Macaca mulatta: one gene and its partners. The protein of the gene in region 1 interacts with the protein of each later gene in a pairwise test. Links are inferred from orthologs where the notes say so. Each region holds a gene or a part of one and is shown in the gene's direction. Other genes may lie near its edges. The genes, in order: KXD1, LRRC45, MOB1A, GABARAPL1, TPM3, EXOC7 and CCDC185.

Region 1 (3,500 bases):
CTAATTTTTGTATTTTGTGTACTTTTTGTATTTTTTTTAGTAGAGACAGGGTTTCCCCATGTTGGCCAGCCTCATCTCAAACTCCTGGCCTCAGGTGATCCATCCACGTCGACCTCCCAAATGCAGGGATTATAGGCATGAGCCATCACGCTCAATCTTGCAGTTTATTTATTCTTAAAAAACGTAACATAGTGCAGCTGAGCGTGGTGGCTCACACCTGTAATCCCAGCACTTTGGGAGGCGGAGACGGGCGGATCACGAGTTCAGGAGATCGAGACCATCCTGGCTAACATGGTGAAACCCCATCTCTACTAAAATACAAAAAAAATTAGCCGGGCGAGGTGGCGGGCGCCTGTACTCCCAGCTACTCGGGAGGCTGAGGCAGGAGAATGGCGTGAACCCGGGAGGCGGGGCTTGCAGTGAGCTGAGATCCGGCCACTGCACTCCAGCCTGGGCAACAGAGCTAGACTCCGTCTCAAAAAAAAAAAAAAAAAAAAAGGTAACATAGTGCTAGACACATAATGAAAAGGCAGGAATGGCCAGGCACAGTGGCGCATGCCTGTAATCCCAGCAGTTTGGGAGGCTGACGCAGGCGGATCACCTGAGGTCAGGAGTTCGAGACCAGCCTGGCCAACATGATGAAACCCCGTCTCTATTAAAAATACAAAAAACCGCCAGGCGCGGTGGCTTACGCCTGTAATCCCAGCACTTTGGGAGGCCGAGGCAGGCGGATCACGAGGTCAGGAGATCGAGACCATACTGGCAAACACGGTGAAACCCTGTCTCTACTAAAAATACAAAAAAATTAGCCGGGGCCGGGCGCGGTGGCTCAAGCCTGTAATTCCAGCACTTTGGGAGGCCGAGACGGGCGGATCATGAGGTCAGGAGATCGAGACCATCCTGGCTAACACGGTGAAACCCCGTCTCTACTAAAAAAAATACAAAAAACTAGCCGGGCGAGATGGTGGGCGCCTGTAGTCCCAGCTACTCGGGAGGCTGAGGCAGGAGAATGGCGTAAACCCGGAAGGCGGAGCTTGCAGTGAGCTGAGATCCGGCCACGGCACTCCAGCCTGGGCCACAGAGCGAGACTCCGTCTCAAAAAAAAAAAAAAAAAAAAAAAAAAATTAGCCGGGCACAATGGCAGGCGCCTATAGTCCCAGCTTCTCGGGAGGCTGAGGCAGGAGAATGGCGTGAACCCGGGAGGCGGCAGAGCTTGCAGTGAGCCGAGATCGTGCCACTGCCCTCCAGCCTGGGCGACAGAACGAGACTCTGTCTCAAAAAAAAAAAAAAAAAAAAATACAAAAAATCAGCTGAGCACGGTGGCTCGTGCCTGTAATCCCAGGTACTCGGGAGGCTGAGGGAGGAGAATCATGTGAATCCAGAAGGTGGAGGTTGCAGTGAGCCAAGATGGCACCACTGCATTCCACCGTGGGTGACAGAGCGAGATTCTGTCTCAAAAAATAAAAAAAAGAGTTTATCAGAGTAGAGGAGGCCACATGTAAGAAGGGGCCTTGTAGGGGGAGCCCCCAGCCAGTGCCTAGGCTCAGAGCACCCAGAGTCTTAACTAGTTGGGGGTTGTTGCCTACCCTGGGGCTGGAGGCCGGCTGGTGAGTGACTGTCAGGGCCGTGGCTGTGGGGCCGAGCACCTGGAGAGAGTGAAGATGTGATGTGATGAACAGTGTGGGGTTCTCACTCCCGTCTCCCCTTGCCCTCAGCCGGCAGCAGGGGCCTGTGACTGGCACAAGGCCTGGCCTGCCTGCTCAGCAGGTTAAGCCCTGTGTGCCTTCTCTCCCCTGCAGGACGCTGAAAGGGAAACTGGCCAGGCAGCACCCAGAGGCCTTCAGCCGTAAGTGTCACACAGGGCTCCGGCTCCCGAGCATGTCAGCACTCTCCGCCCAGGGCAGGCTTCTGGAAGGCCACCTTGGGGCCTGATCCTGAGACCAGGCTGTAATGGGCAGTGGGTCTGGAGAAACCTGGGGCGGGGGCGGGGGCAGGGTGCTGGCCTGGTCTTCTCGGCAGCCTACAAGGCTGGCGCTAGGACGGGAGTCCGTGCCCTGTGGGGAGGCCGCACAGGGAATGTGGATAAGTGGCATGATGATCCTTATCCCCGTGTGCATCATGAGCCCCTGTGAACCAGGCTGTTACCCACAGTCACCCATGAGGTGGGGACTGTGAGTATCCCCGTTTCATGGAGAGGGAAACAGAGGCCCAGAGGGGCGGGACTTGAGTGCACATCCGTCTGGCTAAAGAGCCCGTCTGTTCTCTGAGGTACCACTCCATGTTGCCACCACCTTAAAGGGCTCTGCAGGCTGAGCCTGGGTTCATCCCATCTGTTGAAAAGGCCGACGGCTCTCCATCCTAGGGCCTCCAACAGCAGTTTACAGAGCAGAGAGCCGGGCTGAGGGGAGGTCATGTACCTAGGCCAGGTAGTGCAGTGAGCCAGGCTTGCCCTCACGGCTCCTGTAGGCCCAACCCCAGAGCTTGTGTCCCTTCCTCACCTCACCTTGAAGGGAGAGCTCTTCCCTGCCTGGACCTCAGTTTCCTCCTCTACAAAATAAAAATGGGCCAAGTCTGCCGGGCGCGGTGGCTCATGCCTATAATCCCAACACTGGGAGGCCGAGGCGGGTGGATCACCTGAGGTCGGGAGTTCGATACCAGCCCTACCAACATAGAGAAACCCCGTTTGTAGTAAAAATACAAAATTAGATGGGCGTGGTGACGGGCACCTGTAGTCCCAGCTACTCGGGAGGCTGAGGCAGGAGAATTGCTTGAACCCGGGAGGCGGAGGTTGCAGTGAGCTGAGATCACACCATTGCACTCTAGCTTGGGCAACAAGAGCGAAACTCCGTCTCAAAAAAAAAAAAAAAAAAAAAAAAAGGGGCCAAGTCATGCCCCCATGGGGTGAGGGCAGCCATTATGGGTCACATGGACAATAAATCCTACATCCCAGTGCTTCGCAAGGTGACACCACCAACTCTTGGGCCTCCTTCCTCCAGATATCCCGGAGGCGTCCTTCCTGGAGGAAGAGGATGAAGACCCCATCCCACCCAGCACCACGACCACCATCGCCACCTCAGAACAGAGCACGGGCTCATGTGACACCAGCCCCGACACCGTCTCGCCCTCCCTGAGCCCCGGCTTCGAGGACCTGTCCCATGTCCAGCCTGGCTCCCCAGCCATCAACGGCCGCAGCCAGACAGATGAGGAGGAGACGACGGGCGAATAGACCTACTGCCCGGTGCCTTGAGGGGTCTCAGGGCAGTGGCATACAAGGTGGCAGCGGGTAACCCTGCCTTGTTCTGTCACCCAGGGCTCCTTTGCTGCCCCGTTCTGTCACTCAGGGCTCCTAGGGGAACAGGGCTGTCTCCCGAGGGGTGTGAAATTCCTGGGGGGTCTTTAATTCTGGCTCCTTCCTTCCTCAGAACGCCTCTCTTCTGCAAGACCCCTCTGCCATGCCAGGGCACGCCCATTCCGGCTGGAGTCGCAGGGCTGGGCACGGG
Region 2 (2,659 bases), on another chromosome or scaffold:
CAGCCCCCACCACCTCTGCCCCACGTGTGCCCGCACCCCCCAACACCAGGTGCCTCCTGCTCACAGCCCCAACCCCACGAAGCACCTTCCACCCTCATGCACTGAGGGGGCACCCCTGACTTGCCAGGAGAGACCTTGCCCTACAAGGCATTGATTCCCAAGCAGCCAGCCGCCGGGTGCAAGGCTGGTGGCCACCAGCCACTCCTGAGGCTAAGCAGCTCCGGGGTGACACAGCTCCTTGTGTGTGTGTGTGTGTGTGTGTGTATGTATGTGTGACTGAGATCGCTCTGTCACCCAGGCTGGAGTACAGTGGCGCAATCTCGGCTCACTGCAACCTCCACCTCCCGGGTTCAAGCGATTCTCCTGCCTCAGCCTCCTGAGTAGCTGGGATTACAGGTGTGCAATACCATGCACGGCTAATTTTTTGCATTTTTAGTAGAGATAGGGTTTCATCATGTTGGCCAGGCTGGTCTCGAACCCCTGACCTCAGGTGATCCGCCCACCTCGGCCTCTCGAAGTGCTGAGATTCCAGGCATGAGCCCCTGCGCCCGGCTGACACAGCCCCTTCTGCAGAGCAAGCCATGGGCCACAGCCAGGACCGGCTCACCACCTTCCAGGAGAACCAAGCCCGCACTCACGTCCTCAGCAAGGAGGTCCAGCACCTCCGGGAGGAGAAGTCCAAGCAGGTGAGAATGGCGCCTTCACTGACCTTGGAGCTGCTCGTGGCTGGAGGGCCTGGCCATGTCCTGCCTCCTTCGGCCCCGTGGTCTGCCCACCTTCCCTTCCTTGGGGCCGCAGAGCCTGTCTGAGTGGCTCGTACCGGGAAGGAGGGCGGCCTCCTGGTCTGATCTCCTGCAGGTGGGCTTCCTTGGGGAGCTGGTGTCTGAGCCCCAAGGCCTCCCTCTGCAGGAGCCACCCTTCCTGTGAAGGAGACAGGGCGCTGTGGGTGGAGCCCTTTGCTGCCTTGCTGTGTTGGTGGGCACCGGCTCTCCTTCCCCCGAGAAGGTCGTGTGGACAGGCTGTAGGTGCTCTGACAGGGCTGTGGCTGTCTCTGTCCCCAGTTTCTGGACTTGCTGGAGACCATTGATAAGCAGCGGGAAGAGATGGCCAAGAGCAGCAGGTGAGCGGGCGCAGGGCAGGGGCAAGACAAGGCTTCAGGGATTGGGTCCTGGCTCAGACTCAGATGGGACCAACCTGAGCCCACAAGTGAGACCACGAGGTGGTGGCTGGAGGCTCAGTGCCCAGGCGACCGTAGATGCTTAAGGAACAGCAGCAGCTACCGAGGCCAGAGGGGTACGGGAGCGCTCTGGGGTTTGGGTTACTCTCTGCACCCTCCTCTCTGCCCACAGGGCGTCGGCAGCCCGTGTAGGACAGCTTCAGGAAGCCCTGAATGAGAGGCACTCCATCATCAACGCTCTCAAAGCCAAGTAAGTAGGGAGTGGCTCAGGATACTTCAGAAACGTGCCCACAGCGCAGAGGAGGGTGGTGTGAGCCTGTGTGCAAGTCCCGTTTGCAATGTAGAGGTGGGAAACCGTGAGGCTGGGGCAGTAACCCAGAAGCCTTCCTGGAGGAGGCGGGTGCTGGCTGGGGTTCACTAGGTGCCCAGCAACAGTGAGAGCAGCGAGGACTTTGTAAGGCACGTGAAGCTCCAGCCGGGGCGGGGGTGCTGGCCTTCCTTTCTGCAGGCTGCAGATGACGGAGGCCGCCCTGGCTCTGTCAGAGCAGAAGGCCCAGGACCTGGGGGAGCTCCTGGCCACAGCGGAGCAGGAGCAGCTGAGCCTATCGCAGAGGCAGGCCAAGGAGCTCAAGCTGGAGCAGCAGGTGGGTGGGCGGGCTTGAGAGGGGTGGGTGGCAGCTTCGTGACCCTCACTGCCCATACCACGTTCCCCTCCCAGGAAGCTGCGGAGCGGGAGTCTAAGCTCCTCAGAGACTTGTCTGCTGCTAATGAAAAGAACCTGCTTCTGCAAAACCAGGTATCTGTGGCGGAGCCAGGGAGCCCAGGGTGGGCACGGCAGGGCCGGGCTGCAGCTTCCCTCTCTGGTGCCGGCTTTCCAGGTAGAGGAGTTGGAGCGGAAGGTCAGGTGTCAGCAGGAGCAGCTGTTCCAGACCAGGCAGGAACTGACCAGCACATCAGCCGAGCTGAAGATGCGGGCCATCCAGGCCGAGGGTGGGCGTGGGCAGGCCTGCTGTGGAAGGGTTGGGGATGGGCACCCTGGGGACAGGGTCCCCCAGGAGATGCTTACACACGCTCTGCCCCCTGGGCTTCCAGAGCGCCTGGACATGGAGAAGAGAAGGTGCAGACAGAGCCTGGAGGACTCGGAAAGCCTGCGCGTCAAGGAGGTGCCCTCTTTGTTGGCCTCATCTGGCCTCTAATGCTCCTCAGCCTCTGTCCTTGGTGTCATGCAGGTGTCCCCAAAGCACATGCCCGGTGGGAGCTCCCCTTGCCAACCTGGGGTCACTGGGTGGCTGTATTTTGCCAGCCTGAGCGGATGTCAGACCCAGAACCTTCTATTGGGGCTGGGAGGGGACCCCGGCCATGCCTCAGCCGTAGTACAGGCTGCCGCTGAAGAGACACCAAGCCCCACCTGTGCAGTGTGCGCATGCTAGGGTAGTTTCCTGCTAGGCCACCCGAGGCAGTGCTTTCTCAGAATGAACAAGG
Region 3 (4,252 bases), on another chromosome or scaffold:
ACATGGTGAAATCCCGTCCTTACTGAAAAAAAAAAAAAAAATAGCCGGGTGTGGTGGCGCACGACTGTGATCCCAGGTACTCGGGAGGCTGAGGCATGAGAATCACTTGAATCTGGAAGGCAGAGGTTGCAACGAGCCTAGATTGCACCACTGCACTTCAGCCTGGGTTACAAAGTGAGACTCTGTCTGAAAAACAAACAAAAAAAATTAGTGGTGATGGTTGGCACACTTTGAAAACATAAACAAAGCCGGAGGCAGTGGCTCACACCTGTGATCTCAGCATTTTGGGAGGCCAAACCAGGAGGATCCCTTGAGCCCAGGAGTCCAAGACCAGCTTGGGCAACACAGTGAGACCCCCGTCTCTGCAAAAACTTTGAGAAAATTAGCCGGGCGTGGTGGCACGCACCTGTGGTCTCAGCTACTCGGGAGGCTGAGGCGAGAGGATCACTTAAGCCCAGGAAGTCCAGGCTGCAGTGAACTGTGAACTCCAGTCTGGGCGATAGAGTGAGACACTTCAAAAAAGAAAAAACATAAACGAAAAGGACCACTAGAGGGTACATGTTTAAAGGATAGATTTTATGCTATGTGAATATATCTCAAGTAAAAATTAAAAATTTTAAAATTTGCAGGGGTAGGTAGCGCTTATAGAGGACCCTGCGCAACCTAGGGAGCTGGGTCGAAACTCAGCAGCACCAAGATAGACTAAGAGCAGGACTAGCCACTGCCCTTTCCGCAGGACCGCCGTCCTCGCCACGCCTCCCGGGGAGGGAGGGCCTGGCTTGGAGAGCAATGATTGGCCAAGTTCTAGGACGAGGCGGAGCGAAAGGGGGTGCGTCTAGTCCCTCCCGGCGCCGCGAAACCTTAGCTCGCGAGATTTTGTTGGTTCCGCATTTCGGGTTTGCGAGGTGGGGTAGGCGGGCAAGGCGGGCGCCGAGGTTTGCAAGGGCTCGCAGCGGCCAGAAATCCGGCTCCGAGCGGCGGCGGCCCGGCTTCCGCTGCCCGTGACCAAAGGACGGTCCTCTCCCTCTCGCCGGCTCCGAATCCTGATCCGGGCGGGGGCCAGAGGCCCCTCGCCTCCCATCTGAGGACCGAAGATGAGCTTCCTCTTGTGAGTGGGGCCGGGCCGCGGGCACTGGGGCTGCGGGCCGAGATCGTGGGGGAGGCCTCCCCGGACCTGAGGCGAGGGCTGGGCTTGGGGGCCGGGGCGGGGGCGGGGTAGCTGGCGTTTGTTTTGCCTCTGTTTGGGTCAGCGGGGGAGGCCGAGATGTTGGGAGAGGCCGACAGAGGTGAAGGTGAGGTAAAGGAAACGGAGCGTGAAGGTTGGGGAGTAGAAAGGCCCCGGGGCCGTAGCGCCTGCAAACTTTTCCGCCCGAGGGCCCCCGAGGGCGAGGAGACGATCTGGGGGCGGAGCCGCGAGCCCCCAGTTTCCCTCGTCTCGAGCTTCTAGAAACCGTCCATGCCGACTTAACTCGCCGCTCGGTTATAGGTCCAGTTTCAGTATTGTCGGTGTTGAATGCCGCTCCGGGAGAATGTGCGTTGCCGCAGTTTGAGAAGCCTGAAGTTAAGATGCGGGCCTTGGAGTCGGATCGTTCTGTCCAATTCTGATTCTGCCCACTTACTGGTTTTGATTTTAACCAACTTCTCTTGTCCTCGGTAGAATCGTGTGTTTTTAATCATTATGTAATATACCATACAACATTATTCCATAGTACATTGCAGTATTATTATAAATAATTTGGAAAGTTAAAATTAAAACAAATTCATAGTCCCATTACAGAAACAGTATTGCTATTTCAGTGCACTACAGCAATTAACTTGATACACATACCTTAGAATCTCATTTTAGAGATAATGCCTGAGCCCAGTCAAACAAGGCTACAATGAAAAAGCTTGTAAATTCCCTCATGATTCTTATGCACATTAAGGTTTGAGAAGCATTGCTCTGGCAAAGTATTTTTTATTCTCGGGTGGCGCTCTCTACCTTGTATATTGCTTAAATGTGTGTTTCCTGATTGAGTAGTTATCCATTTTTAGTTATGGATGCAATCCACATGCTTGACATTTTTATTAAATACAATATAAAAACACTACATAGGTTTTTTTTTAATTTTATTTTATTTTTGAGACGGAGTCTCGCTCTGTCGCCCAGGCTGGAGTGCAGTGGCCAGATCTCAGCTCACTGCAAGCTCCGCCTCCTGGGTTCACGCCATTCTCCCGCCTCAGCCTCCCGAGTAGCTGGGACCACAGGCGCCCGCCACCTCGCCCGGCTAATTTTTTGTATTTTTTAGTAGAGACGGGGTTTCACCGCGTTAGCCAGCATGGTCTCGATCTCCTGACCTCGTGATCCGCCCATCTCGGCCTCCCAAAGTGCTGGGATTACAGGCTTGAGCCACCGCGCCCGGCCGGTTTTTGTTTTTTTTTTTAAATAACCAGAGTTCACCCACTTTATTGTGAGAGACTGGGATTCCTTCCAGTATTTGCTTTTATAAAATAGGACTACTAAGAATATGTTTATCTGCGTCTCATTTTCCCTCCTTTGGGTTATTCTCGTAAAGGAATGGTCTCTAAAATACGATTACCTTGTCAAAAAGCCTGTATGATTTAGATTTAATTTCCATATTAATAGAAGTATTCCTCCCTCCACTTTTTTCTTACGAGTTGATATTTAGTTAGTGAATGCACAGTTGCTTTGTGGACCTTAATGTGAGACTTTTTTTTTTTGAGACCGAGTTTCGCTCTGTCACCCAGGCTGGAGTGCAATGGCACGGTCTCGGCTCACTGCAACTTCTGCCTCCCGGGTTCAAGCGACTCTCCTGCCTCAGCCTCCCTAGTAGCTGGGATTACAGGCGCCAGCCACCACACCCGGCTCATTTTTGTATTTTTAGTGGCGACTGGGTTTCATCATGTTGGCCAGGCTGATCTTGAACTCCTGACCTCAGATGATCCACTCCCGCACCCGGCCGAGACTTTCTTTTTTTAAAACTTGACCTTCTTGATGGGCGCTTGAGTTGTTGCCGCTTTTTGGCCATTATGAATAATGCTGCTGTGAACATATGTGACAGGTTTTTGCGTGGATGTATGTGTTCATATCTCTTGGGTATATACTTAGGAGTGGAATTACTGGCTTACATGGTAACTGTGTTTAACCTTTTGAGGAACTGCCAAACTTTCAAAGTGCTGCACCATTTTACATTCCCATAAGCACTCTATGAGGGGTCCAATTTCCCCACACCTCTCATAGCACTTGTTAATTTTCTTTTTTTAATAGTCATCCTAAGTGGATGTGGAGTGGTATCTCCTGATTTTGATTTGCATTTCCCTAATGACTAATAATGTTGAGCATTTTTTCGTGTACTTATTGGTCATTTGTATATATTCCTTGGAGTAAAGTCTATTTAGATCTTTTGCCTGTTTTTAAATTGGGTTGTCTTTTTGTTTTTGAGTTGTAAGAGTTCTTTATACATTCTAGATACAAGTCCTTATCACATCTGTGATTTGCAAATATTTTCTTCCCTGTTCAGTATAATTTTTTATCACGTTAAAAACGTTTCAGATTTGATTTTCAGTGTTTTCATAATTCTTTTTTACTTCTTTTTTTAAATTTAAAATTTTTTTTTATTTGAGACAGGGTCTCACCTGTTGCCCAGGCTGGAGTGCAGTGGCACCATCTCAGCTCACTGCAACCTCCACCTCCCGGGTTCAAGCAATTCTCCTGCCTCAGCCTCCCAAGTAGCTGGGATTACAGGCACTTGCCACCACGCCCAGCTAATTTTTTTTTTTTTTTTCCTATTTTTAGTAGAGACGGGGTTTCACGGTGTTGGTCAGGGTGGTCTAGAGCTCCTGACGTCAAGTGATCCACCCACCTGGCCTCCCAGAGTGCTGGGATTACAGGCGTGATCCACCGCACCCGGCTCTTTTTTTTCTTCTTAATCAGTCTTATTTAAAGTCCAAATTACTCAGGTAAAGTAAAAGTCTGTAATTCTATTCCATTCCTCTTCCTAGAAGTAATCACCAGTTTTGATGAATTTAGTTGTTGATATTTTCTGTGCATTTACAAAATGGGCTCCTGCTGTACATTTGGTTGTGTATTATGTTTAACCATGTATTAGATCTTTCCTTGTGAATACGTGTACTCTGTCTGGTTTTCTTAACTTCTATACAATATTCCATGATATGGATGTACCATACTTTAATTCAGTCCTCTACTGATAAAATTGAGGATTGCTTGTAGGTTTCTCCCTATTAAAAACAA
Region 4 (3,500 bases), on another chromosome or scaffold:
TCTTCATTAAAAATACAGAAATTAGCTGGATGTGGTGACGGGCGCCTGTAATCTCAGCTACTTAGGAGGCTGAGGCTGGAGAATTGCTTGAACCTTAGAGGCAGAGATTGCAGTGAGCCGATATTGTGCCACTGCGCTCCAGCCTGGGTGACACGGTGACGCTCCGCCTCAAAAAAAAAAAAAAAAAAAAATTCAGCTTTGTTAATTGTGATGTCAATTTGTTCCAAAAAGAAAACCAGTCTGGTTTCTTGAGAGGATTATGCTTTAGAGTTTCCTGATTACATCTTCTTAAGCTACATTTTTTAAAAAATAAGTTTTGTAGATTTTGTTTGGGATTATAAGACATATATTCAGTCTTCATCTTGAGCCTTAATGGAATACACACTGCATCCAGGAGACACTGGAAAGATTTTGTTGATTTGCTTCAGAGTTAACAGGTTTGAATATCAGCCATCTAGAAAGTTTTCAGTATTCTCAGGTAAAGGCAAAGCACTGAACCTTATTTAATGCCCCAACACTGAGTTGAGTGACTGTGCTAAGATGACCAGTGTCCAGTGGACCCCTTTCATTGCTAAGCTTTTCTTAGGGTGGGTCTGGGGATGGAAAGTGTTTCAAGTCGGGTTTAGACAATGATGGGAATGTTTTGGTCTGGATGCACGTGGTATTCCTTCAGCGTAGTCCTCAGGCTTTGAGTGGATATGCTAACATGAGGTCTGAGATTGAATAAGAGAGGAAAGGAGGAATAAAGTCCACTATGGCATATCAGGGACTGTACGGGCTTCTGAGTTTCCCTTTTTATTTTGAAAGCTCCAGGATAGTATTTGGCTCTTCTCAGGTGGTATATAAAACTGGTACTGACTCTAAGGGGAAAAAATGCAACTGAATTTTTTTCCAGGACTTACCATTCTACTAATTCCTTGTTTTCTTCCTTTCTTGTCTGCCTTTTTCTTCCATCATCCAGTTGGCCAGTTCTACTTCTTAATCCGGAAGAGAATCCACCTGAGACCTGAGGACGCCTTATTCTTCTTTGTCAACAACACTATCCCTCCCACCAGTGCTACCATGGGCCAACTGTATGAGGTAATGGTTCTAGCCGAACAATACTGGATGCCGTCCAGGGCAGTCTGGCATCCTCTAGCTCTTGTTCTAGTATATGTTGATAACACAACTGAGAAGTGGGGCAGAAGGTGTTATTTATCCGGATCCTCGTAAGGCTCTGAGAGATTAGATACCACTTGTTTTTCAGGGATTAGGCACTCTACTAGATTTAATCCTTTTGAAATCTCTTCTCAGTCTTGTCTGACTATAGTGTTTAATGTGGGATTGTTTATTGAAACAGCAGGAAGTGACTCCTGATAGCAAAAGTTCCAAAGCATCAGCCCATCGCAGTTCCTGCTCTTCTTGTTGGTAGTCTGTAATTTGTAATGCATTCAGAATCCAGTTCATTATTTTACTCCCATTTAGCAACAGATTGAGAAAGCACATAATAGTAAAGCCAGCTTCTAACTCTGAGGCCAGCCTCCGCTACAGTCAGCTTCCTCTGTGAACTCTGAAGTTTTGGCTTGAGACAAACACATTGATCTAAACAGAGGGAAACTTCTTCTTAGAACAAAACGAAAACTGTGAAACAGATTCCACATTATCTGGGCACAATGAATCAGATCAAATGAAATATAAAATTAAGGCAAAGTCTGTAAATGGATTCATTTGTCTTAACAGATAAACTGAGGAGGAATAATTTTTATGTGGTTTTGTTTAATTGGAAGTGTCAGAATTTGGAGAAACTATAGTAAAGGACTTTATTATTACTAAAAATATAACCTAGGATTGTAACTATTATTTTTTGCAGTATTTTGCATAAGATGCTTCCTTCTCATTATGCCCTATTAATGGATTACATAAATTTATAATAATCTTGAATCTAACTTTTATTGCATAGCATATATTCCCTGTTAGTATCTGCCCCTTATATATCCCATCTGTGGTATCTATGTTCCCCTTGCTAGGACTGAGCTCTTTAAGAGTGAGTACTGTGCCCCAGTCATCTTCATATCCCTGATACCTATGTGTAATATGTTTTCAGTGAAGGATTTTTGTTTGTGAACTCAGAGCTCAAAGTGTAATTCCAACCACATCTCCTGATTCTTTGCTCCCCTTTTAGATGGGGATGAACGATACCTTCCATACCTGCTTTACAAGCTTGTGTGAGGCTTAGCATCTTAGAGCTAATGAATGAATATGTTTTCTAAACTGTTGTCTTATCTCTTCCCCTAGGACAATCATGAGGAAGACTATTTTCTGTATGTGGCCTACAGTGATGAGAGTGTCTATGGGAAATGAGTGGTTGGAAGCCCAGCAGATGGGAGCACCTGGACTTGGGGGTAGGGGAGGGGTGTGCGTGCGACTTGGGGAAAGAGGGTGACTCCCACCGCGAGGAGACAGAAGGTGAAGACATCTAGAAACATTACACCGCACACACCGTCATCATATTTTCACATGCTCAATTGATATTTTTTGCTGCTTCCTCGGCCCAGGGAGAAAGCATGTCAGGACAGAGCTGTTGGATTGGCTTTGGTAGAGGGATACGGATGATGTAATTTCACAGCATTCCTGAGATTTAATTTTTGTGCAGTTTCATAGAAGGGTCAGGAGGTGGACAAGTTGGGGCCAGAGATGATGGTAGTCCAGCAGCAACTCCCTGTGCTCCCTTCTCTTTGGGCAGCGATTCTATTTTTGACATTTGCACAGGACAGGTAGGGAAAGGGGACTTGTGGTAGTGGACCATACCTGGGGACCAAAAGAGACCCACTGTAATTGATGCATTGTGGCCCCTGTTCTTTCCTGTCTCACACTTCTTTTCTCCCATCCCAGCTGCAGTCTCACTCAAACATCACAGTACCACCCCAGGGGTGGCAGTAGACCACAACCCAGAAATTTAGACAGCGATCTCTTACCTTTGGAAAATAGGGGTTAGACATAAAGGTGGTTATGATTAAGAAGATTGTTTTGTTATTAAATAGCATTAAACTGGAATTGACAAGACTATTGAGCATCTCTGTCTAACCTGTTCTTTCTCTCTGGTGCCCCTTATCTCACCCCTACCTTGGAATTTAAGTCTCAGGCATTTCCAGTTGTAGACTAAAACCACTCTTAGCATCTCCTCTAGTATTTTCCATGTATCAGGACAGAGATGTCTTATGTAGGGAGGGAGCAAGTGTGAAGTAAGGTAATTATATACACCTCTCATTCAGGATTCTTGCTCCCATGCTGCTGTCCCTTCAGGCTCACACGCACAGGAATGCTATGTGATGGCCAGCTGCTTCCCTCCTTGGTTATCATCCACTGCAGCTGCTAGTTAGAAAGGTTTGGAGGGATGACTTTTAGTAAATCATGGGGATTTTATTGATTTATTTTCACTTTTGGGGTTTTGTGGGGTGGGAGTGGGGAGCAGGAATTGCACTCAGACATGACATTTCAATTCATCTCTGCTAATGAAAAGG
Region 5 (3,500 bases), on another chromosome or scaffold:
AGGTGATCTGCCCACCTTGGCCTCCCAAAGTACTGGGATTACAGGCGTGAGCCACCGCACCCAACCATAACAAAACATTTTAAATGAAATAATTAAACTAAGGTGTGGGAGTAGTAACATGGAATTTCCATTTGAAGGGCAGATAGAGAGGAATGGGCTTTTAAAAGTACAATTCTGAGACCCTTGGAGTGGAGCTGACGACACTCCTCAGGGTGTCAGTATTGCTTTTGTCCTGTTTCTGGCAGAGGTATGAAGGTTATTGAAAACCGGGCCTTAAAAGATGAAGAAAAGATGGAACTCCAGGAAATCCAACTCAAAGAAGCTAAGCACATTGCAGAAGAGGCAGATAGGAAGTATGAAGAGGTAAGTGACTTTCTGTTAGTCCCTCTCTCAGCCTTTTACAAAGAATAATGTGGTAAATGGCTCCTTTGCTTCACTAAGCTATACTGGGATCTTTTCCTGTAGGTGGCTCGTAAGTTGGTGATCATTGAAGGAGACTTGGAACGCACAGAGGAACGAGCTGAGCTGGCAGAGTCGTAAGTATCTAGCTCCCCAAATCTTGTCATACCAATTTGTCCCTTCCCCTTTGGCTTGGGCACTAATATGAATAAATTAGCATTCCTTCAACCTTGTTAAACAGGGCCTAGGAAATGGGAGTCATCTATAGTGCTTTTTTAGGTCCAAGAATGGTTGTAGACTTCCTTATTCTCCTGACTAGTGACAAGTGACAAAAGAGGCTTTCTTATTTTTTGTTGGTAGGTTTTACAAATTGAGAGCAAATAAGGACTAATACATGGTGAACAGTTAACTGGAAGATCCTACTGGGTCCTTCCACCTGGGGTGGAAGACATCAAAGTGGCTATCCTGATTTAAGATCTGGTGTCTGGCTGGGTGTGGTGGCTCACACCTGTAGTCCCAGCTACTTAGGATGCCAAGGCAGGAGGATTGCTTGAACCCAGGAGTTGGAGGCCAGCCTGGGCATCATAGGGAGACCCTGTCCCTAAAACAAACAAAATTAAAAAAAAAAAATCTGGTGTCTGTTTTTGCCACTTTGCCAATCTGCTGGGGAACTTTAGGGCAAGGGTAGATACTAACTGCTCCCCTGTTGGTACCTTCTCGGCCTTGATTAACAAAGTCAGTGCTGATGCATATATATTTGTGCTTCCCTCTTACATTCCCGTCTGCCAGACATAACATATCATGACCATGGTGGTGTTCTCTTCCCATTTTTTGAATTTTTTTTTTCGTTTTGCTGCTTGTTTTCTTGCTGTGTTCCTTTTTGACCGTTCTCCCTCCCCACAACCTGGCTTGTGCCATCCCCGTGACTATCACTAACAGCCGTTGCCGAGAGATGGATGAGCAGATTAGACTGATGGACCAGAACCTGAAGTGTCTGAGTGCTGCTGAAGAAAAGGTACTAACCATTAAACCCACAGCAAGGTTATATATATGGTGTGGTTTTGTTTTGTTTTGTTTTTGTTTTGCAGCTGCCTCCCCTCCACTTGATTTTGTTGAGTGCTGTCTCATCTCTTCATGGAATGCTCCATTCTTTTCCACTTACTTGGCATCTTTCATCTCTTCTTTCCTAGTTGCTTTACTGCCTCTCCGCAGGGTCTCCTTCCTTTGGGTGATTTGGGGGACTGTTTGGGTTGGGCATTTGTTCCCACCTCCACCCCAGGTAGCAGTTATGACTCATTCCTGGTAGTGGATTTCTCTCAAGTGCTTTATTAGTATTCAAACATTTTGAGCCCAGGAAGGTCTAGCTCCTGACACGTTCTATGGTAGAGGGAGGAGGGTTGATGCTTGCTCAGGTTACTTGGGAACATCTCTTCCCCAGTATGCCTTCCAACTCTCTCTACATATAGGTTCAATTCACGTCTGTGTGTCTCTCTCCCTTTTTTTATTCTCTTCCTTTTCCCTTTTCCTCTCCTGTGGTATTTAAAATATTCACAGTAAGTGTTCTGAGCTGGAGGAGGAGCTGAAGAATGTCACCAACAACCTCAAGTCTCTTGAGGCTCAGGCGGAGAAGGTAGGGGCTGGTTTGTGAAAGTGACAGGCTTTGGGGCCTGGGCCCAGCCCTGCCCTTGATGAAAGACTGGAGACACCCATTCCATATATAATTCAATGAGGCATGTCCTTTTCCTACCTCCTTACCATGTATTCAGGTTCTGGGTTTAATGCTACTTTCTGTGCACTTTGATTGCTTTAATTAAAATAACTTCATGGTCTCAGGTTACTGGAGTCATGTGCTCCTCAGGCTGATACTGCTGTGCTGAAAAGCAATAATCAGGGGCCCTAACAGGCTTTCTGGCAGACAGATGGGGGCAACAGACAGAATCAGCTCTGAGACCTAATGAGCAATCAAGACAGATGACTTCACTTTGCCATCATGTGGGTGTGTTTTAGTCATGTGACCTTGGGGTGCCACTACTCTTGCTCATTAAGCCGGGGAAGGGAAAAACACCTCCTTGGGTTGATCTGAATAATATCAAAGCTTAGATCCATCTTAAAAAGTCATGGAGAATTTTAACCTGAGGATCTCATGGCTCTAAAGACAGATTTCTGGATTTCAAGGACCTGTTTTCCAGAGCCAGGCCTTGCTCTTACTCTTGGACCATTCAGCACATTTAGTCCAAGAGGATATTCAGTGTAAGAGTTAAGTGTAGGGAGGTGGGTATTGCTTGTGTGATTGATTTCTACTCTGAAATTTTTACTTATCTTACAGTACTCTCAAAAAGAAGACAAATATGAGGAAGAGATCAAGATTCTTACTGATAAACTCAAGGAGGTGAGCTGAGGGGATTATAGGGCAGGACCCAAAACATTTAGAGGTATATAAGACATTAATGTGGACTTAGACTGGCTGGTTTGGGTTCTGAAAGGTCCAGAAGTAGAAGGTGGAAGAAATAGAGATTGTTCTTCTTTGTCTTCATCTCTGATTCTGACTAATTTCATCTTTCCCCCAGGCAGAGACCCGTGCTGAGTTTGCTGAGAGATCGGTAGCCAAGCTGGAAAAGACAATTGATGACTTGGAAGGTATGGAACCTTGAGTAGGGATTGAAATAGAGAAATGTAGAGGAAGACCTTGCCCATTAACTATTAATCTCTTCTTCTGTATACCAAAGGAAGTTGGTATGACTTGGCATGTATTAATACGTGCACTGTCCTATGCCACAGCTAGGCAAAGTGGGTCAAACCCTAGAATTGGTTTTTCAAATGTAATCTTTTCCTTTAAGAAGACTTCACCAAATAGTCTGCAATTTGTACCCTTCCCTTTGAGGAGAATGATAATGGCTGCATTAATCTCCAATTTAGTAGTCTTAAACCTTTAGTCTGTGGGTTTAAACGGAAGCCATGATTTCAGAAGGGCAAGGTGCAGGTCATTTCATGGCTACTTTCCACAGTTCTTTTCACCACTCAAGTTGTGGGGTATTTATCCAAGAAATGAAGTTGTGGAGTAACCACATCTGAACACTGACCACTGTCAGGAGCTTTCTAAA
Region 6 (3,500 bases), on another chromosome or scaffold:
ACAGAGTGAGACTCTTGTCTCGAAGAAAGAAGGCTGGGTGCAGTGGCTCACGCCTATAATCCCAGCACTTTGGGAGGCCTAGGCAGGCGGATCACCTGAGGTCAGAAGTTCGAGACCAGCCTGACCAACATAGAGAAACCCCGTCTCTACTAAAAATACAAAATTAGCTGGGCGTGGTGGCCTGTAATCCCAGCTACTTGGGAGGCTGAGGCAAGAGAATCTCTTGAACCCAGGAGGTTACGGTGAGCTGAGATGATGCCATTGCACTCCAGCCTGGACAACAAGAGCAAAACTCCATCTCAAAAAGAAAGAAAGAAAGAAAATAAAAACTTCAACTCCAATAGATATCCAGTATTGCACTTTTTTTTTTTTTTTTTTTTGAGACGGAGCCTCGCACTGTCACCCAGGCTAGAGTGCAGTGGTGTGATCCTGACTCACCACAACCTCTGCCTCCTGGGTTCAAGCAATTCTGCCTCAGCCTCCCCAGTAGCTGGGATTACAGGTGCCCGCCACCACGCCCAGCTAATTTTTGTTTATTCTCAAGGGTGCAGGGATTAGGTGTAAGTGTCTGAAGATACTTGTAACCTTCTTGCCGTCACTAGCTCCTCTCCAAATAGATCAGGCCAATTGATGGACTCATTGACAGTTCCATGGCCATTTGTTCTTCATTAATTTTTGTTTTTGCTATCTGATAGGACTATCACAGTACTCTAACTTTTTAAATTTGTACTTTATTAATGGCTAAAGATGTGTGTTTTTCATTCACTAACATCTGTTGTCTGTTTGCTTCCTATAGAGCTCGTGTTCTTTGACCCCTTACCAAGTTGAATCTGGATATTAACTTTGTTTTTTTATTAAAAAAAAAAAAAGTACGATTTAAACTTACAACTAGGGCTGGGCGCAGTGGCTCGTGCCTGTAATCCCAGCACTTTGGGAGGCCGAGGCCAGTGGATCATTTGAGGTCAGGAGTTCAAGACCAGCGTGGCCAACATGGTGAAACCCCATTTCTACTAAAAATACAAAAAATTAGCTGGGTGTGGTGGCGGGCACCTGTAATAATCCCATCTACTTGGGAGGCTGAGGCAGGAGAATCGCTTAAACCTGGGAGGCAGAGGTCACAGTGAGCCCGTGCCATTGCATTCTAGCCTGGGCGACAAAAATGAAACTCAGTCTCAAAAAAAAATAAAAAAACTAGGGCTGGGCATGGTGGCTCATGCCTATAATCCCAGCACTTTGGGAGGCCGAGGCTGGTGAATCATTTGAGATCAGGAGTTCAAGACCAGCCTTGCCAACATGGTGAAACCCCATCTCTACTAAAAATATAAAAATTAGCTGGGTGGAAGTGGCGCATGCCTGTAATCCCAGCCACTCAAGGCTGAGGCAAGAGAATTGGTTGAGCCTGGGAGGCAGAGGTTGCAGTGAGCCATCACACCACTGCACTCCAGCCTGGGCGACAGAGTAAGACCTTACCTAAAAAAAAAAAAAATTACAACTAATTATCAGTTCTATCGGAGGGTGTTTTTCTCTTTTAAGATTGCCTGGCCGGGCGTGGTGACTCACGCCTGTCATCCCAGCACTCTGGGAGGCTGAAGTGGGCAGATTACTTGAGCCCAGGAGGTCGAGCCTGCAGTGAGCTGACATCGTGCCACTGCACTGCAGCCTGGACAACAGAGCAAGACCCTGTCTCAAAAAAGAAAAAAAAATACTTTGCCTGATTTGGGACAAGATATGGGTGGCTTGCGACCCAGAGCAGACAGCAGATGCTAAGAAGGGTTGACAGGTAGACATGGTGGGTCTGCAAGGCAGAGGCAGGGCCTGGCAGCCATACCTCTATCGCTCTGTATCTCCTCAGATTTCATGAACGTCTACTACCAGATACGCTCCAGCCAGCTGGACCGCTCCATCAAGGGCCTGAAGGAGCATTTCCATAAGAGCAGTTCTTCCTCTGGGGTTCCCTACTCCCCTGCTATCCCCAACAAGAGGAAAGACACACCTACCAAGAAGCCAGTCAAGCGGCCAGGTGAGCCCCTATGCTGGCCCATCTCTGCAACAGCCAGAGGCTGACTGGAACTGCACTGCTTTCATCCAATCTAGCGTTCGCAGCGTCAGACCCCTCTAGAGCTTGTCGTTATGGTAACCCTGACTGTAGGTACACAGGACAGAAAGCAAGTGTCTACCCAGCCAGTGAGGCCCCCGCAGAGCAAGACCCTTCTACCCAGCAGAGCCTGGGGGTGACACAGCTTCTTTGGAGTGAGGGAGTAACACAGGTGCTCAGTTAATCCTGCCTGAGGCAGGCGGCAGAGGCTTCTAGGGCCGAGCCCCTGCCTAGGCCTCGTGCCTCACACACACATCACCCTGTCAGGAGACCAGGCACACTGCTGCATCCAGGACGCTGGGATAGCGAGGGGATAGGTGCTCCAACCTTCACCTTCCAGAAAGGCAAGGTGACCTGAAGTGATGTGTAGCTGAGAGCTGGATGGGGAGAATTTCACTTTCCCAGTCGATCCAAAAAGGAAAGAAACCCCAGAGCATCTTCTCAGAAGAACTTAAACTGGCTTTGGGCTCCAGTGCGAGTCAGTGCCTTGTGGAAAGAGGCACCGTGATGAGAGGCCTGGGCCGGTGGGTGTCGCTGTCCTGGGTGAACATCTCGTCATCTGTCTGTTCTTTCTCCCTGGCATCATGTCCCTTGTAGTCTGTGCTCCAGGTAAACAGTGTCTCTGCCAGCCACAGCTTGGCAAGCCCGGCTGTCTCTGGCCACTGACAGATGCCCGCAACTCGATGACATGCTGGGATGTTCTGGGGTGGGGCTGCTGAGATTGCTCTGGAAGAGAAAGCTGGAGAAGCCAGGGCTGCTCCCACCCAGGCTGGCCCCCTGTCCAACTGCTGCTGCAGGCACATGCCCTAGGTGTGGCCTGTGGGACCTGCTTATGACAATAGGCTTTAGGTAGAGCTTACTTACACCCTTGGTTTCTCCAGTCCCTACCTGCCCATGCCTCTCAGAGACCGAGGTGTCTGTTCCACAAGAGCACCCGCTCCTCTCCAGGCCTTTGTTTAGGGTTTAGAGAAACAGGCAGAGTAGGGGCTGCCCTCAGGGAGTAGAGCATTAGGGAGCTGGTGCCTGGGGCCTTCTCCCTCCAGTGTGGATGTCCTGCCCACCCAGCCAAAACCTGCAAATGGGGACTGCCAGCCCAGCCTGTGGGCGCAGCTGCCTGCACAGCGGATGGAGCAGCTCTGTACCTTCTGTGTGGTGGGGAGTGGCTGTCTCTGTGAGGCTTCGAGGATGCTTTAGCCCCAGCCACTCTGTGCTCACTTCCTCTTCTACCTGGTTCCCTGACAGGCCCCCTGGAAGCCCCAGAGCCCTATTTGCACTGCCCTAAGAGTGCCCGCTGGCCATGCAGCCCCCTGGCCTTTCAGGCAGGAGGGATCTGATCTCAGGTAGCTTACAGTGGACCGCATCCGTCCTTGGCCCAGGGACACAAGAGGAAAGCTCTCCGGCTGTG
Region 7 (3,377 bases), on another chromosome or scaffold:
CGTGCTGGCTGCACCCGCACTGTTCGTTCACGCCGCGGCCTCGCAGGCGCGGGTGCTCAGACTCACCGCGGGGCAGCCGAAGCCTGAGCGATGTGGTCCGCAGGCCCCTGGACCGCTCCAGGAAGCACGGGCTCCGCAGCAGGCGCCTAGAAGATGCCTGGGGAGAGACAGGAACCAAGCCCCGCCCAGCTTGGCAGCCGCAGACCCAGCTGCCACCCCAGCGGCCGCAGCCCTGCCCGCATTACCCACTGGCCCAGGGAGACTCGCCCCCGCCTTACTCCGGAGGAGCTGGCACTCCCCTGAGTGGCACATTCAGGGTAGAAAAGGCACAGGGTGGAGACCAGTGGGCAGTGCCGCTCGGCAGACATCTAGGTCGCTGGTCCGCTTCCTCAGTTCCCTCGGAGCGGTCTTCTGTGCCCTCCCAAAAGTTCAGGAGGCACTCAGCCTGCGGGTGCGCCCAGAAGAGAGACAGCAGCGACCAGGTTGAGTCATTAGCAAGCCGGGACTCCCAGCCCTCGGCCTCTAGCAAAGAGATGCGGAGCCCCCACACCCAGGTCCTGAAGAGCAAGCTGGAAGAGGCAGTGGTGTCCTCCCAGGACCAGCAGATTGTGGCCCTCGTGTTGACCCGTCTCAAGAAGGCCCAGAGGATGCGGGAGCTGCAGCAGCAGGCGGCTGAGGCCTGGGAGGAGTTGAAGCGCTCGGATCAGAAGGTCCAGATGACCTTGGAGCGGGAACGCCGGCTGCTGCTGCAGCAGAGCCAGGAGCAGTGGCAGGAGAAGGAGCAGCGCAAGACCCTCCAAAGCCCTGAGCAGCGCTGCCGGCGGCGGGACAGCCAGAGGAAGAACGTGACCCCGGGGGAAAGCCGGTGGAAGGAACAAACTGAGGACCAGGAGAGCCCGCGCCAGGAGAAGCTGGAGAAGGCGCGCGCCCAGGCAGAGCACCGAAAGCAGTGCCAGGTGCGGCGCCTGCGGGAGCAGGAGAAGATGCAACGGAACCTCCGGGAGCAACACACCCTGCAGCTACAGAGGAGGCTGGTGGAGGCCTGTCGCAAGAGGCATCTGCATGCCGTGGAGGGACAGAAGAAGGTCCAGGACACCAACCTGAGCTCTCTCATCAATTACCAGGCCCGGAAGGTCCTCATGGACTGCCAGGCCAAGGCTGAGGAGCTCCTTAGGCAGCTGTCCCTGGAACAAAGTTTCCAGCGGTCCCAAGAGATACACCAGGGCCTGATGAAGGAGCGGCACCGCGAGCTGAGGGAGAAGGCCCAGAAGGAGGAAGAGCAGTTGCAGCAGGCCAGGTGGCGTGCAGGGGAGTCAGAGGAGCAGAGGAAGATGCGCAAAAGGATTCTGGTGGAGCTGGCAGATGAGAAGATCCGACAGGCCAGGAATCACGTGCACAAGACCACTAGGGACAAGGTGCAGCACCTCCGGGAGCTCAACCACCTGAGGGAGAAAAACCACCACATCCTGAAACTGAAAGCCGAGAAGGAGGAAAAGTGCCACATTGAAGGCATCAAGGAGGCCATTAAGAAAAAGGAGCAGAGGGTGCGGCACATTACCCAAGGGAAAGACCCAAACTTCCAGGAGTTCCAGAAGCTCCCTCAGGCCTCCAGGAGAGAAGAGAGAGCGCCTCCCAACAGCTCCCTTGATCAGATAGTACTAGAGGCCCAGCTCCGTGCCTGTCAGCAGAACAGGGATTACTGAGAACCAAGGACGCCTGGCTTACAGCGCCAGCCAGAAGGAGATGTGGCAATGTGATTCCTTTTGTAATCTGATTATAATTGAACATTGATTTTAAAAAAGCATATAAAATAGCTGCAATTTCCTCTCATGAACTGGTTTATTGATTCACTTGGATAGTTTAGAGGGTCGGGGAGAAAATTTTGAGAATTTCTATGAAAATGACTTGGCTTTGTGAATTTCGATTTGAATACAAAATATTCATTTAGCTCTCAAGTAATCTGAGAAACACACAACAGGCACATTTTGGAGACACCAGAGAAAAATCTATAGTTAGGGATACAGTTCTGTGACATGTCTTAAGTCTTTTCCTGTCCCAGAACTTATGAAAGGGTGAAGTATAAAGTACGCATCATAAGAAATCTCCAAGACAAAAAGAAATTTTAAAAAGAGTGAAGTGGGAGGATTCCTGTGAACGAGTAGATTTGGGAACCCTGCATACTATATCCTCTCTTGGGAGTTCATAATGCACTTTAAAATTTTAAAGACATGCAGTAAAGAAACTTAATGTTTAATGTCCCTCACCTCTTTTTTTTTCTCAGATAATTTCATGGAATTGATGTTCTGTGAAACATTTTTGAAAATGGCACTCTATAGTTCTTATCTGATTGTGAACTTCTTTGGCCTTCCCTCCCTGTATTGATAGGAAGTATTTATAATTCCATCAGCACTATTTCTTGACTGTTCCACCACAGCCACACCATCTGATATAGTTTGGCTCTGTCCCCACCCAAATCTCATCTTGAGCTATATAGCTCCCATAATTCCCACGTGTTGTAGGAGAGGCCTTGGGAGATAATCGAATCATGGGGGTGGGGGTTTCCCCCATACTGTTCTCATGGTAGTGAATAAGTCTAAAGAGATCTGATTGTTTCAATAGGGGAAACCCTTTTCACTTGATTCTCATTCTCTCTTGTCTTTCACCTTCCACCATGATTGTAAGGCCTCCCTAGCCACATGGAATGAGTCCATTAAATCTCTTTTTCTGTATAAATTACCCACTCTTGGGTATGTGTTTATCAGCAGCGTGAAAGCAGACTAATGCATCATCTAAGATCTCATTGGAATCTATTTGGTCTGGTTCTTTTTTTGGTCAGTCCTATCCAGCCTTACAGAATAAAATTCTATTGGAATCCTTCTCTTCTCCTCTATTTCTCCTCTGTCTCTTGAAGGAGGTATGTGATGTCATTCTGTCTACCCACATTGTGTCTAATTAACCTAACCAGGCCCTGAGTCAATGACTAAGCATGACTCAGTAATATGACATTTTAAAAATAAGGAGCCAAAAGTTAAATAGAAATTAACCCATCATATCTCAGAGTCTTTATTGAACTCTCTAAATGTTTTCTTTAAAAAGCCCCTAGTGTCACATTTGTATTAGAGAGAGAGAAATAGAATAAGCTCCATTGGGAGATTTATATCTTATTAGTAATTCTAAAACAACATTAAAGATAACCTGACAAAGGATTTTGTGCAAAGGTCAGTTTGAGGTCCACTTTCTTGGCTCTTATCATGGAAACCAGGCCCTCTTCCCCATTCCATTTTCTTCCCTTGCCCCAGTCCCTTCTGCCTGGTATCCCCAAAGAGGCCTACGGTAGGACCCTTATTCTTCTCCTCAAAAATGTTCAAGGACAGCCG

What was found.
Region 2: the proteins of KXD1 (region 1) and LRRC45 interact in binary tests that used the Homo sapiens proteins (3 or more experiments, as listed by UniProt). The two-hybrid records come from large-scale screens. The link is inferred for Macaca mulatta from reciprocal best matches to the Homo sapiens genes KXD1 and LRRC45.
Region 3: the proteins of KXD1 (region 1) and MOB1A interact in binary tests that used the Homo sapiens proteins (3 or more experiments, as listed by UniProt). The two-hybrid records come from large-scale screens. The link is inferred for Macaca mulatta from reciprocal best matches to the Homo sapiens genes KXD1 and MOB1A.
Region 4: the proteins of KXD1 (region 1) and GABARAPL1 interact in binary tests that used the Homo sapiens proteins (3 or more experiments, as listed by UniProt). The two-hybrid records come from large-scale screens. The link is inferred for Macaca mulatta from reciprocal best matches to the Homo sapiens genes KXD1 and GABARAPL1.
Region 5: the proteins of KXD1 (region 1) and TPM3 interact in binary tests that used the Homo sapiens proteins (3 or more experiments, as listed by UniProt). The two-hybrid records come from large-scale screens. The link is inferred for Macaca mulatta from reciprocal best matches to the Homo sapiens genes KXD1 and TPM3.
Region 6: the proteins of KXD1 (region 1) and EXOC7 interact in binary tests that used the Homo sapiens proteins (3 or more experiments, as listed by UniProt). The two-hybrid records come from large-scale screens. The link is inferred for Macaca mulatta from reciprocal best matches to the Homo sapiens genes KXD1 and EXOC7.
Region 7: the proteins of KXD1 (region 1) and CCDC185 interact in a two-hybrid assay, tested with the Homo sapiens proteins (2 studies listed by BioGRID and IntAct). The two-hybrid records come from large-scale screens. The link is inferred for Macaca mulatta from reciprocal best matches to the Homo sapiens genes KXD1 and CCDC185.

The regions. Positions count from the first base shown.
Region 1 is NC_133424.1:19,116,238-19,119,737, forward strand, and holds part of KXD1 (kxDL motif-containing protein 1), read left to right. Parts: intron 1-1,799; coding exon 1,800-1,846; intron 1,847-2,996; coding exon 2,997-3,226; 3' UTR 3,227-3,500.
Region 2 is NC_133421.1:91,697,831-91,700,489, forward strand, and holds part of LRRC45 (leucine-rich repeat-containing protein 45), read left to right. Parts: intron 1-573; coding exon 574-686; intron 687-1,061; coding exon 1,062-1,120; intron 1,121-1,349; coding exon 1,350-1,427; intron 1,428-1,685; coding exon 1,686-1,821; intron 1,822-1,895; coding exon 1,896-1,973; intron 1,974-2,055; coding exon 2,056-2,167; intron 2,168-2,269; coding exon 2,270-2,340; intron 2,341-2,659. UniProt on the Homo sapiens protein: Component of the proteinaceous fiber-like linker between two centrioles, required for centrosome cohesion.
Region 3 is NC_133418.1:50,632,009-50,636,260, forward strand, and holds the start of MOB1A (MOB kinase activator 1A), read left to right. Parts: upstream 1-1,452; 5' UTR 1,453-1,513; coding exon 1,514-1,653; intron 1,654-4,252. UniProt on the Homo sapiens protein: Activator of LATS1/2 in the Hippo signaling pathway which plays a pivotal role in organ size control and tumor suppression by restricting proliferation and promoting apoptosis.
Region 4 is NC_133416.1:10,332,548-10,336,047, reverse strand, and holds part of GABARAPL1 (gamma-aminobutyric acid receptor-associated protein-like 1), read left to right. Parts: intron 1-961; coding exon 962-1,080; intron 1,081-2,274; coding exon 2,275-2,340; 3' UTR 2,341-3,500. UniProt on the Homo sapiens protein: Ubiquitin-like modifier that increases cell-surface expression of kappa-type opioid receptor through facilitating anterograde intracellular trafficking of the receptor. Involved in formation of autophagosomal vacuoles.
Region 5 is NC_133406.1:112,859,409-112,862,908, forward strand, and holds part of TPM3 (tropomyosin alpha-3 chain), read left to right. Parts: intron 1-245; coding exon 246-363; intron 364-465; coding exon 466-536; intron 537-1,338; coding exon of another isoform or gene 1,339-1,414; exon of another isoform or gene 1,415-1,953; coding exon 1,954-2,029; intron 2,030-2,725; coding exon 2,726-2,788; intron 2,789-2,966; coding exon 2,967-3,036; coding exon of another isoform or gene 3,037-3,050; exon of another isoform or gene 3,051-3,072; intron 3,073-3,500. UniProt on the Homo sapiens protein: Binds to actin filaments in muscle and non-muscle cells. Plays a central role, in association with the troponin complex, in the calcium dependent regulation of vertebrate striated muscle contraction.
Region 6 is NC_133421.1:85,825,751-85,829,250, reverse strand, and holds part of EXOC7 (exocyst complex component 7), read left to right. Parts: intron 1-1,852; coding exon 1,853-2,020; intron 2,021-3,500. UniProt on the Homo sapiens protein: Component of the exocyst complex involved in the docking of exocytic vesicles with fusion sites on the plasma membrane.
Region 7 is NC_133406.1:81,272,842-81,276,218, forward strand, and holds the end of CCDC185 (coiled-coil domain-containing protein 185), read left to right. Parts: coding exon 1-1,703; 3' UTR 1,704-2,877; downstream 2,878-3,377.